Caenorhabditis elegans: one gene and its partners. The protein of the gene in region 3 interacts with the protein of the main gene of each other region in a pairwise test. Each region holds a gene or a part of one and is shown on either strand. Other genes may lie near its edges.

Region 1 (3,431 bases), on a different chromosome or scaffold from region 3:
CTTCGGATCTAACAGCAGCTGGTCCATCTTTCGGGAATACTTTATAGTATATTGTGCCGCCCATCCCTTCCAGATGAGCCGACGTTTGTCCAACTGGATTTACTCCTTTCTTAGGAAACTGTTCCCACGACTGAAAAGTTAAAATTGGCATGATAAAAACATATTTCACATTTCACGCAACTGTTCTAAAAAATCGTCAAGTCAAAAATTCATGATTGATCTATTATATGTGTACATTTTTCTTTTTTCTTCAACTTTTTCCACGTCTCCTCGCGAGCGTAAATAAATTAAATTAAATAACACTGTAACGTGTTATTTTTTCTTGCATATTGTTTGTTACTGAAGTGTAAAAAAAACTGACTATGAGACAACAACTGCTGTGGTATAATAACTAAACAGAAAAATTTGTAAAATACAGAAAAAAAAATGACGAAAATTGAACGTAAAAGGAAGTATATGTAGTAAGTGTTTTTGTCGTAGAGATATATAATTTTCCAACCCGCGAAAATTTTCATAAAGGAGAATTGAATTTTTTTTTGATAATTTTTGCGGATTTGATAATTTTTTCTTGATAATTCGGCAATTGCCGCCCACCCCATATACACTAGCGGGCATTAAACTTACTTTTAAAATTGTTGGAGACAAGTTGCATATAGTTCCAGTGATTGTAAAATTCTTTGTTTCCCCATACTTCGAAAATTTAAAAATTTCGGAATCCGTTTTGTTGAACCAGGTGAACTGGGCCCATACATCCCTATCTGTTTCCGATCTTACTTGAGCGTTGAATTTGCAACAATCCATAATAACAAAAACAGAAATGAATGAAAAAATTCGCAAAATTTTCATCTTAAAGGTGCGTGGTATAAGTCAAAATTGGTGTGAATGACGAGAAACAGAAACGAATAAATATATAGGTTTGTAGGTCATAATGATATCACATGTACGGAAACAATGATAAAATACATCAAAATCAAAGATTAAATGTAAATTTAGTAGCTAAAAGACAATTGCATGACACCTGAAATTTGAAACTCTAACAGAACAGTATCTGTGATTTGTGAAATCAGGAAATTGGAAGTTTCGATCGGTACAAATACATCCCATACTTCTTGCCAAAGGAAACACATTTTGCATTGTGTCCATTGAAGTTCTTCGTATTATTACCGGATCGTCAGTCTTTTTGGAGGCCTAAGAATACGGAATAATTATTTTAAAACTGTTTCAACCCACCTTTTTTATAATATCATACAAAATAACGTCATTACAACGTTCACCTTCAAAATTATCATCTTGGCATGATGCCAGAGTGAAAAACATGACAAGTACTAACAATAATAATAAAGAAGACATATTAACTTTAAATGACCTCTGTTCCTGGAGACCTTTTTACTTTTATAGGTAGTTTAATTGGTTGCAGTACCAATTTTTGTTTTTATTAGTTCACGGGAAAGTATTATTTTCAGCTAAACGTGTTTTTCAAGTGTTATTTTATGAAAAAACATTTGTGTGTCACGTCCAAATTGATACGATTAGTTGTAAAAACTGTTGGTTTATTATTAAAAAATAAAGGGTTAATTGTAAACATTCATCGATTCTTTAATAGTATTCTATCGATTTAAAAAAATGATTCAACCAAAGAATGTCTGAAATAAGTTTGAATTCCTGACTATGAGTAAATGAATTACCAGTTGATTTTTTTCCAGTTGAAGCATCTTTTTTTTTGATTTTTAGACACTTTTCAATAAACCTTGATACTTAATACTAACAAACATCGTTGAAACTTAAAACTTTCACTATAAATTGATAGTTTTTCTTCTTATTTAAAATTTTTGCAGTCTCGGAAAATTTGAAATAGGTTGTTAAAACCATGTAACAGAGCAAAAACAAAAAAAACCGTATAATATAATCGGAATTGAAATTTTTTATGAAAAGTTTAATAAATCATAGGAACATTGTGAAATACACTTTTACAGTTATAATTTATTAATATAATCCGTTTCCTATCAGAGCTAAGTTTATAATTTTGTTACTATAACATGTTAAACATTGCCCCAAACACAAGAAAAGTTACACAATGGTCATCTTGGCCAAGAAATTGATAAGATAAATCATGGGAAGTAAAGAGCAACTGTTCATTCGAGCCCTGCAGTCGTCAGTAGTTTCCAATAATGTCAAGATGGAAGGTCGTTATTTTGTGCCTATTAAGTTTTATGTTTGAAATCGGTATGTTTATATTTGGTTGATTTACAATCAGCGTTTTTTTTCTGTTTGAATGAAAAATGTGAGAAATTCATGAAAGAAAATCTCTAGTTTATTAAAAAAACTAGATCATAAAAAAATTTAAAAACAGGTTTCACTTGGACTATTCTTTAAAAAAAACGTTCTAAGGCTAAATTGCTTTGGATTAAATTTAAAAAAAAACCCACACTGACTAAAAATTGCATTCCCTAATGAGACTTCATAATAAGTTTTCGGTTTTAATGGCTCCAAAAAATCATAGATAAATTTTTGAGAAGTCTTTTAATGATATTCGGTTTTAGGTGTGGGGAGGTAGTTTTGAGTTTCCCAAACAATGAATAAAGTGAGAATGATTTACCGTTCAGTATTAATATTCTTTTAGGTCATGCTTCTTTTCAATGCAACCCAAAAACCTATGACGGCGCGTTTCTCAACATTGTTTGTGTTTGCAACGCAACGTTTTGCGATGAAATTGAGCCAATAGGAGAGATAGCTGAAGGGAAGGCAATTGTTTATAGATCAAGTTTGGACGGCGATAGATTGAAACGCATGAGTATGAAAATGAAAGAGAAATTGAGAAAAAATGAATCAGGTAAGAATACTTATCTAACACATTTCCGAGGTGCAAATCATCCTCCAATTATTAAATGTTTTATAGTTAATGTGACAATTACAATAGATGCCAGTGAAAGATTTCAAAATATTTTTGGTTTTGGAGGAGCATTTACTGATTCTGCCGGCGATCAATTTGTTTCCTTATCGGAGACACTTCAAAATTATATCGTTGATTCATATTTTGGAAAAAATGGATTAGAATATAATATAGGAAGAGTTCCAATAGCCAGTTGTGATTTTTCTACTCATGAATATAGCTATGATGACGTTCATGATGATTTTGAATTAAAACATTTTGCATTACCTGATGAAGATTTAAAACTAAAGGTAATTTTAATAAACGGCAAAACTTCAAAAAAAAGACTGAAACTTTCAGATTCCATTTATCAAGAAAGCAATTGAAAAAACTGAAGGAAACATTCAATTATTTGCCAGTCCATGGTCAGCTCCTGGATGGATGAAAGTTACTGGACGCATGAGGGGCGGAGGAGCTATGAGAAATGATAAGCGTGTTTATCAAGCGTACGCTGATTATTTTTTTAAGTAAGTTTTTGTGTTTATTCGAAAACACTGAATTA
Region 2 (4,644 bases), on a different chromosome or scaffold from region 3:
TTTGATCGATCCACGTGGTTTTCTTCTGCCCATTTCCGGTGAATTCTTTTTAAAAATCTTTATAATCTTCTCATTTCGTATTTACTTTCATTTTGAACTGTTCACTGATAACGAATTTGTCCCAATCAGAAGGTAATCAGAAATGGAATCAACTCCATGAATTGAGAAAAATGCGATGGGTACAGAAAGCAGTGGAGTTTCTGCAGGAAATGTTCAATTGAAAATAAACGGGCGGTGCGAACTCGATTGGTCTTTAGATCAGCTAGAGGAGTATTTAAGGAACAATGCTACAGTTGGTTCAAAATTGGACAAACTTTTGTTATCGGAAAGGAAAGTATGTAAGGAAGACACTTTACATTACGGGAAGTTGACTACAGTAGTCTTTTACGAATATTTTTGCAAACAATTTTTATAAACATAATCGATCAGCAATTATTTAAAATTTCAGATGATTTCCATCTGGATTCTACTTATATCTCTGCTCCTCACTGTGAACAGCCGGACAATCGTAGTCTATAATAATAGATGCGTGGGCGGCAAAGTATTTAAATGTGGATGATGATTGGAGAAATGGAAAGATTTGGGCACGGACTGGATGTGATGGAGATTTCAATTGTGAGACTGGAACTTGTTTGGTGAGTTTTCCGTAGTTTGAATGTAACTTTTTTGAAGTCTATAGATCTATACTTTAACAGTGTATCATTTTGAAAGTATAAGTTTCTATGGAAGTTTTGAAACAAATAAACACTTGGGGATATTTGATCAAAACATTTTGAACAATTTTTTAAGTTCAGCCAAAAAATTGTGTAAAAGGGAAATACGAAAAAGTACTTTAGATGTTCTAGAATATCTGAAAGTCGTGAATTGTCAAGGACGTACATCATTTTTTTTTTGATGAATATTCCAAAATCTATTACCAAAATACATTTTCATTTTCGGGCAAATTTTTGGTCTTTTTTCTGTCAAACTCTGGGCACGTTTTACGGTCGTCGAAACTATATAATCTTTTTGCCAAATTTTTGCTACTTTCTGCCAAACTTTGGGCAAGCTTCTCAACAGTAAATGTTGACAGGAAGTTTCAAACGTTTCGCAGAATTCACACGCATATACTGAATAAGTTTCAAAACATCCGAAATTGGGAATACCCGAAGTCTTGAAAAAAAATGAAAAAGGTTTGAGAGTTTTACACTTTTTCCAGAACGCAGAACAATGCAATGGAAGGACAGGAACTCCACCCGCATCTGTCGCAGAATTCAATTTGAAATCTTGGGCTGGAAGAGACTTTTATGCAGTTAATCTAATCGATGGTTACAATCTCCCAATGTTAATTGATGGGTTGGGATGTCAAAGAGCCGGTGGATGCATCTCTGATGTAAATGCTGCATGCCCTACAGAACTTGCAGTGAAGAGTAGTTCAGGTTACACTGTTGGGTGTAAATCTGGATGTCTTGGATATGGAACTGATAAGGAATGCTGCCGTGGGGAGTATGATTCTCCAGATAAATGCACAATGAGCTCTACAACGAAGATGTTCAAGAATGCATGTCCAGGTGCATACACTTATCCATTTGACAACTCAACAATGTTCGTGTGCTTGAAACCTTCGTCGTATACCGTTCAATTTTGTTGAATTTTTGAATTTTTTACCAAAAACTTAACTGAAATTTCTAGATAATTTTTTTTTCGAATGAACTATTTTCGGTTTATTGAAAGTTTTTGATTCTTGCTTCACTGATAACATGAGAAAAAAGATACAGTTATCTGACCAATCAACTATTTAATTCGGCGTCTGTCATGCCAACTTTTTGGTTAATATTCACAAAAAAAAGTGTTGCAGAAAGTTTGTAGCAGAAAGAAAATGCCTAGAATACAAGTTGGTAATTGAAATTGGAATAATGTCTGTCACCTATTTTTGATTCAACGTTTGGTAAAAAGAGCTTCAGATATTGAAAACTAATGGAAACTTTGAACATGACACCTTTTTTTACCCAAAAAATGTAAAAATGCAAGAAAAATATATTAACTAAAGTTCTGACTATCAATGACCGTTCTTTAGGTTTCAAAAAATTAATCCAGATAATTTTCACAGCCACAGTTTAGGTAGTACTGCCATTTCTCTTGACAATGCATAACATTTTAGGTGGCCTTTTACAAATTTGAATATGCATTTAGCTCATCTAGTTCACTAATTACCCTTTTTAATGAAGTGTTTCATTCCAATAAACGTCTCCTATGACCTAATCTCCTTCCCTTCGAGACCATATAGAGAGAGAGAGAGAGAGCAAACATAGTATGTCAGACAATGATGACGTGTCTACCTCTTGGAAAGGTCAACTGCTACGGTAGATACCATCTATTAGCAGTGCTCCTCTTCTTGTCTCATTTCACTCGCACAGGTCCCTATCGACTGGTTGTCACCCTTTTTCTGTCTGTAATATTCAAATAATGGCTTCGATCGAACTCCGCAATGTGCAAACCGAGCTTGCCGCGAAGAACTTGCAATTCAAAGTGCTCACTGAAAAGTTTTTGGAGCAACGAAAAGAGCTTTTCGATGCGAAGAAGACTGATTCGAATGTCGAATATGTGGAATGTTTGAGTGAGAAATTGAGAGTTGCCACGGAAAGAATTTCGGATCTTGAAAAGGAGACGAAAGAAGGAAAACAAGTAGCAAATGAGGAAATTGGTCGATTGGAGAAACTTTTGAGGGAAGCACAGCAGAAAAGGGATGCGAAAATTGATGAGTGAGTTTTTAAGAATTTGAGTTCCTAAAATTTATCGAATTATTTTTTCAGGTCATATCAGACATTCTTGAGAATCGAATTACTTGTGGCTAACCTTGGTGAGAGCACAGATCCTGAGAATGAAAAACGGTGAGTTTCGGAGCCTACCCAAGTTAAAACGCAACGCCTCTAAAGTTGGGTCTCGTTAGGTATTGGCGAAGGCAAAATCAGAAATTCAAATTTTTTCAAGAGTTTTTCCACTATTTCTATGTCGAAACAAATCATGTAAAATACACGAGAAACCCTTATTCAAATGCATCTTTAAAGACCATTTCGACATTAAAATCGATAATAACAACAAAAACGTTTGAATTTACGAGTTTCCTGCCAATACCTAATGAGACCCATCATTGGAGCGCGCTTGTGCCTTGATGATTTCAAAAAACCATTTTTTGCGTCCCCATAATAACAAGCACAAATGCAAAAAGTAACACTTTTCAGAATCAAAAATTTGATGCCAGCAGCGAAAACTGGTATTCCACCAGAGGGTGTTTTGAGATTGACGATTAATGCATTGGACAGTGCTGCTAGAGAATCCAAGAAAAAGACGATGGCCATCGAGAGCCTCACGAAACAGGTCGACGATGCGAACAAGCTCACTGAAGTCTATATGAAACGGCTTGAAGAGCTGGAGGACAAGCATCGATTCGAAGAGGCGCTCACGTTGAAGATCCAGGCGATGATGATCGAGACGACGGGGCAGTTGGAAGCCCAGAAGAAGATCATTGCGGATCTTCAGAAGAAGAATGACGATCTTATGAAAGAAGAGGAAGGGGAAGAAGATTATGAAGAGGAGGAGAACTACGAGGTTGAAGAAGACTTTGAGGATGAGGAAGAGTATGATGAGGAGGGAGAAGAGGAAGATTACGAATAAAATACATACTAGTTTCTACTTTTTTATTTTACTGTTTGTTTTTTCCTTCGTTTCATAAATTTCCAAATGTCAAATCTTTTAAAGAAATAATTTCAAAAATTCAGTAAAAACAAAACGAAAATAACGCAAAATCAACAACAACAAAAAATAAAATTGATTATCCTTCTATTTGAGACGATCCAGAATGTGTTTCTTTTTCGGAGCCTCGTCATCCACTTCCGGTGCTTCAAAAACTTCCTTCTCCACCGCATGTTTCTCCATATTCCGTTCCATTCGAATCTGATCCTTGACAATATTCTTACGAGCCTCCATCTTCCAACCACTCTTCTTGCTGCGCATCTTGTGACGTGGCGTATATTGAACAGCCATCGGACGAATGTAGAGAATCTTCTTTCGTTCTTCCTCTTCCAACTCGAGAAGTCCCTCATTGACCTTGTTAATGTCGTCTGGGTTAAGACTGATGAGCTCCGGTTGAATCTGAAAATTAGAATTTAGTTAGCATTACAATTTTTGCAAAAATTTTTTTCGCTTGCCAAAGAAGGGTCTTCTAAATTGCTGTAGTATAAGAAAACTCCGAATTTTCCGTGGAAAACTTTTGTGAAATTTAGAACCAAGTAGTCTGAAATAAATTTTCAAAAAAAATCTCATTTTTTTCGAGATTGAACATAATTTTGTAACTAAAGTTTTCATGAAATATAGAGAAATCAAGATTTTTTTGGAGAAAATTTTTTAAAGGTTTCTTTTTTATTGGTGAGGTGCTTTCGATTTTCATGATAAAATCATAAAAAATAGAGTTTTTGACATCCAGACTTCAAATATCAAAATCGAATAAAATAAATTCCATACCTTATCCAACAATTGTTTGATTTCTCTTTCCTTTCTCTGTGATTTCGTTTCGTACGGATTAGATCTGAGCGTATCAACGTTCGGATCTCCTGCCCCTGGCACCAACATACTCGTGAATCCGCCTGCGTGTCCAATTCCGAGCAC
Region 3 (4,080 bases):
ATTGACTCCAGATAATTCCAACGTTTAGATGAATTTTTTATCACTATAACTTTTAAACACACCTTTCCGACTTTATTTTTCTTCTCGTCCAGAACTTCTGCTCCAATTTTGACTTGACCTTCACATTCAAATGGTAAGATTCGTCGACGGATAACACCTGTCAAAATTTAATTTTTCAAAATCAAATTGAACTAGTTTTGTGGGTTTTACAAAAATTTAATTGACAAGTTACTAAATAAAAAGGAAAGTGAGATTTCACGTCTCCAAATATCTAAATTTAGTTGAAGTAACCTGTATGAGCAGTTCTTGCAGTTAATTCCTGTCCAACATAACATCCTTTATCAAGTGAAACCATATTGAGCAGATCACCGTTTGCCTTAAAAAATAATATTTGAAAATGAACTTTTAGAAATATTTCATTTAAATTGCTTCTGTTGTATTTTTACCTGAAAAGGAAGCAACTCCGCCAATTCTTGAGATCCTTCTGCAATTCCAGCAGATCGTCGCAAATTTTCATATTTTTCTCGATTTTCGCTAACTTCCGATGAAGACGGATTACCGAAAACGCGAGCTCCAAAACCAGAAAATCGAGGATCGCGGTGAGCTAAAATAAAATGTTATTAAAGTTTTGACGTTCATTTTCTACCTTGTTTGTCCGATACATCTTCTGTGAAAAATATTTGATCGGAAGATTCGGTGATTTCAACTTGTTTCCTCAATCGATATTTCAAGATTTCTTTTGTTAAAATAGTTTTATTTTCTTTAGAACATTCCAAGAACAAATCATCAGTTCCTCGTCTCCATAGAAGAACATCTTCAACAATTCTCCCTTTTGTGTTGAGCAAAAAAGCAGCAAGTCCATTTTGAGTTTGAAGTTTTCTGCAAAATAAGATGTAATCATTTTCGCTGTAATTTTTAGAGTATAAAAACATACGTCACATCATTTGTAATTAAACCTTGAAGAAACGCGTTTGTGTCAGAGCCATGAAGTTTCAAAAGAACTCTATGAGGCAATTTAATTAATCTTTGTGTTGACATCTGTAAAAAAGTTTGATAATCACAAGAAAACATATTAAAATATGTTAGAGTAAATTTCGCAACGGGGATGATCATATGGCCGTGCCGAATAATTTCGTCCGCGGCCGCAAGTAGAGCGAGGAAATTTGAAAAAGAAAACAAGCGCTTGGATTAGCAGCAAACTATTTAGGATGAAGCACCAAGTACGTCGCATTGAAAGCTGGGAATAATTATAATTTGCCTAAGCTTGGGACAAACTACACTCAAAATAAAAAAACTGCGTGGCGTGTACTGCAGAAAACCTCATATTTAGGCCCCGCCTTTTTCTCGTCCACTCACGGAGTGGAGGCAAAAATTTGGGGACCAACCAATATCATGCCGCCGACATCCTACGGGTTCCGCGCGCCGCTATGTTTAACTCGCAGCGGGCGGAGACAGCTCGCCACGCCCACAGCGAGTTAATCCTAGCGGCGCGCGGAACCCGTAGGATGTCGGCGGCCTGATATTGGTTGGTCCCCAAATTTTTGCCTTTTGTCCGTGAGTGGACGAGAAAAAGGCGGGGCCTAAAAATGAGGTTTTCTGCAGTACAGGCCACGCAGTTTTTTTATTTTGAGTGTAGGTTGTTGCTTAAATTTAATAAAATTAATTTGAATTAAAAATTGTCGAAGCGAATACATATTTAAAAAATGAATATTTTGTGTGTTTAATGAGTGAATAAAAATAAAACTGTTCATGAAAACATACGGTTTAAAGGCTCACGTTGTTCTTAAGTCATGTGGGTCTCGCAACGATCGCAAACACGCTACGGTTTTTTGTTAATTTTAAATATTTTTATTTTCTATTGTGAATTGGCCATTTCAATATCTCCAATTTCAGAGATAAATGAATTTCGAAAAGCTTGTCAGTCAGGCAGTAAATGGTGACCGATTCAAAATTTTCTGCGGGCAGCTCACTGAGTTCACCAACTCGCTCGCTGGGGAAAGAGGTATGTTTTGAGGCAAACATCAATGAAATATGAATTTAAAAATACATTTTCAGAGGCCATAGAAAAAGGAATGAGGCAAATCGAAACTCAACAGCTTGAAGGTTTGACAGATTGAAAAAGGCTCAACTTTAAAATTTTCTTCAGCCGAAACTTCATTCACCGAGCGAATTGCTGAAGACAGGGTTAAATGTGCTGCTCAACGAGAAAGTCTAGAAAGACAGCTTCAGGATTTGACAGCAACTGACAATAAACTGTCTGAACAGAAAAGAGACTGGGAAGAGAGACAAGAAAAAGCCTATGATGAACTAATGTCTTATTTGGAAAACGAGGATGTGGACAGTGCGGGTACACAGTTCGGAGATCACTTCAATTCATTAATTAAATCGATGAACAACTTGGTAAGTCTGCTCGATAACTTTATAATTTTTAAAAAGAGTGGGTTTCTGAATGTTATATTTTCAGTCACATGATTCGATGAATGGTCAATTCAATTCACTCAAAAACAATCTGGATGAATTAAACATTGAAAGTAAGTTGAAAAAAAATTTTGATGGTATTATCAACTAAACTTGCAGAGAAACAACTAGAAGTCGCCATCGCTGATCAATCATCGACTATTTCTGAAATGATTCCTTCTCTCCGTCCAACATGTGGAGCGACCTACAAAGAGCGCAACACTCTTCGCATTATTTTCCATTATCAAGTTGCCAAACTGCGCAGTGAGTACCAAAAATGTCGTCTACAAGAAGAAGCTCTGAAAGCCCGACTTTCTACATGAATTAAAAGAATCAGAACAGCCAAAATGTGGGCAACTGTTAATCGAACTGTAATGATATTAAAAATTGAATAATCTTTTTTCAAATCGTTCTGTTATCCTAAACTTTCATCATGTCGAATGCTTATCATGTAATATTTAATTTTATTGCATCAACCGTTGTGAAGTTTTAATAAATTATAGTCCTGGATTTCTCGGCCTTCTTGAATTATTGGCCCGAGCGATAGCTTCCGCAAATGTTTTCGGAGGTCCTTCCGGCCAATTGTCCAAGTCCATATCCATAAAATCGCATGTATTCGTTCGAAATACAACTCCAGGCGGTAGAGGGTCTTCTTGAAGTTGTGAAATGGGTGTTCCTTGGATAGTAGATTGAGTCCTAAAGTAAGATGTTCCTATTAATTAAAATTCACAATTTTGGGAATATGAATAACTTTCCCTTTTTCGAAAGTCGTGCTTCAATAATGAGACTAACTTACTTTTCTACTGTGTGGTCCTCTTCTGATCGTTTTCCTGCATTTTCCAAAGATGCCAGCTCAATGATAGAATACTTTTTAGTACACGGCGTAATCGTTTTAAAGTGAAAATGACTGAGAAATTTAAGAATTTCACTTCTTGAAGAGTGGTCGGAATATGGAATTCTAATGATTCCCTCGTCGTCGTTGACACCATTTCCAAACGTATAATAGAGCATCGATATGTCGATTATCACCGAATTTTGAGATATTTCACAACTAAAATAAAGGATTATTTGATGTGTTTAAAAATGGAAAGCCGTACTAGCTTCCTTTTTTGATAACTTTAATATCTCGATACTGTTTCAAAACTCCACAGTTTGATGAAAAGTCTAATAAATCTGAAATAACTTTTCTTTCATCATAAACCATAATGGGTTCATTCAATATTCGAGATATTGCTTGAATCAATTCTTCACGCCCAAGTCTATGCAAGGGAATAACAATATTTTCATGCGGATGTGCTTCAATAGCCTTCAGGAGTCTAAAAAATTAAACTGATTAAAATTTAAATAATAGCGAATTATTAGATTTCTTACATTTTTTCTGCCTCGCATCGTTCAGGAAACGGCATATCCAATGAAAAATAGGTGTTATCCAAATAAATAATTCCAAATTTTATTTCGGTCATCCAATGCAATTGGTTTCCTGGTTTTAGACTTTCCAAAAACATTTTATCTGCTCGAAAATCACCAGTGCACAGAACAGCACCGCCTGCGATTTCTTCAATTTTTGATCCTTCGAATACAAACATAACTGCTCCAGGACAGTGATTCGCATTGACTAGTGTC

The links. Proteins that work in one complex are often made in the same cells at the same time.
Region 1: the proteins of syp-3 (region 3) and grl-24 interact in a two-hybrid assay, tested with the Caenorhabditis elegans proteins (2 studies listed by BioGRID).
Region 2: the proteins of syp-3 (region 3) and atz-1 interact in a two-hybrid assay, tested with the Caenorhabditis elegans proteins (2 studies listed by BioGRID).

What each region holds. Positions count from the first base shown.
Region 1 is NC_003282.8:17,474,489-17,477,919, forward strand, and holds grl-24 (Ground-like domain-containing protein), read right to left. Parts: upstream 1,356-3,431; 5' UTR 1,351-1,355; coding exon 1,231-1,350; intron 1,189-1,230; coding exon 997-1,188; 3' UTR 847-996; downstream 1-846. Other genes in the region: gba-3 (Putative glucosylceramidase 3), read left to right, coding at 2,621-2,830, 2,897-3,180, 3,230-3,396; F11E6.9 (TransThyretin-Related family domain), read right to left, coding at 1-130, 625-846.
Region 2 is NC_003282.8:12,373,855-12,378,498, reverse strand, and holds atz-1 (Protein atz-1), read left to right. Parts: upstream 1-2,377; 5' UTR 2,378-2,445; coding exon 2,446-2,741; intron 2,742-2,792; coding exon 2,793-2,870; intron 2,871-3,221; coding exon 3,222-3,654; 3' UTR 3,655-3,818; downstream 3,819-4,644. Other genes in the region: wdr-46 (WD repeat-containing protein 46), read right to left, coding at 3,820-4,131, 4,501-4,644. UniProt on the Caenorhabditis elegans protein: Plays a role in meiosis, germline development and oocyte morphogenesis. May play a role in DNA replication.
Region 3 is NC_003279.8:8,661,934-8,666,013, reverse strand, and holds syp-3 (Synaptonemal complex protein 3), read left to right. Parts: upstream 1-1,893; 5' UTR 1,894-1,899; coding exon 1,900-2,002; intron 2,003-2,055; coding exon 2,056-2,103; intron 2,104-2,146; coding exon 2,147-2,400; intron 2,401-2,464; coding exon 2,465-2,531; intron 2,532-2,577; coding exon 2,578-2,780; 3' UTR 2,781-2,954; downstream 2,955-4,080. Other genes in the region: F39H2.3 (Aminomethyltransferase folate-binding domain-containing protein), read right to left, coding at 63-157, 292-376, 447-604, 647-879, 935-1,038; mrt-1 (5' exonuclease Apollo), read right to left, coding at 2,955-3,153, 3,254-3,508, 3,555-3,773, 3,829-4,080. UniProt on the Caenorhabditis elegans protein: Plays a role in early meiotic events; during prophase I contributes to synaptonemal complex (SC) assembly, synapsis and chiasmata formation and stabilization of homologous chromosomes pairing.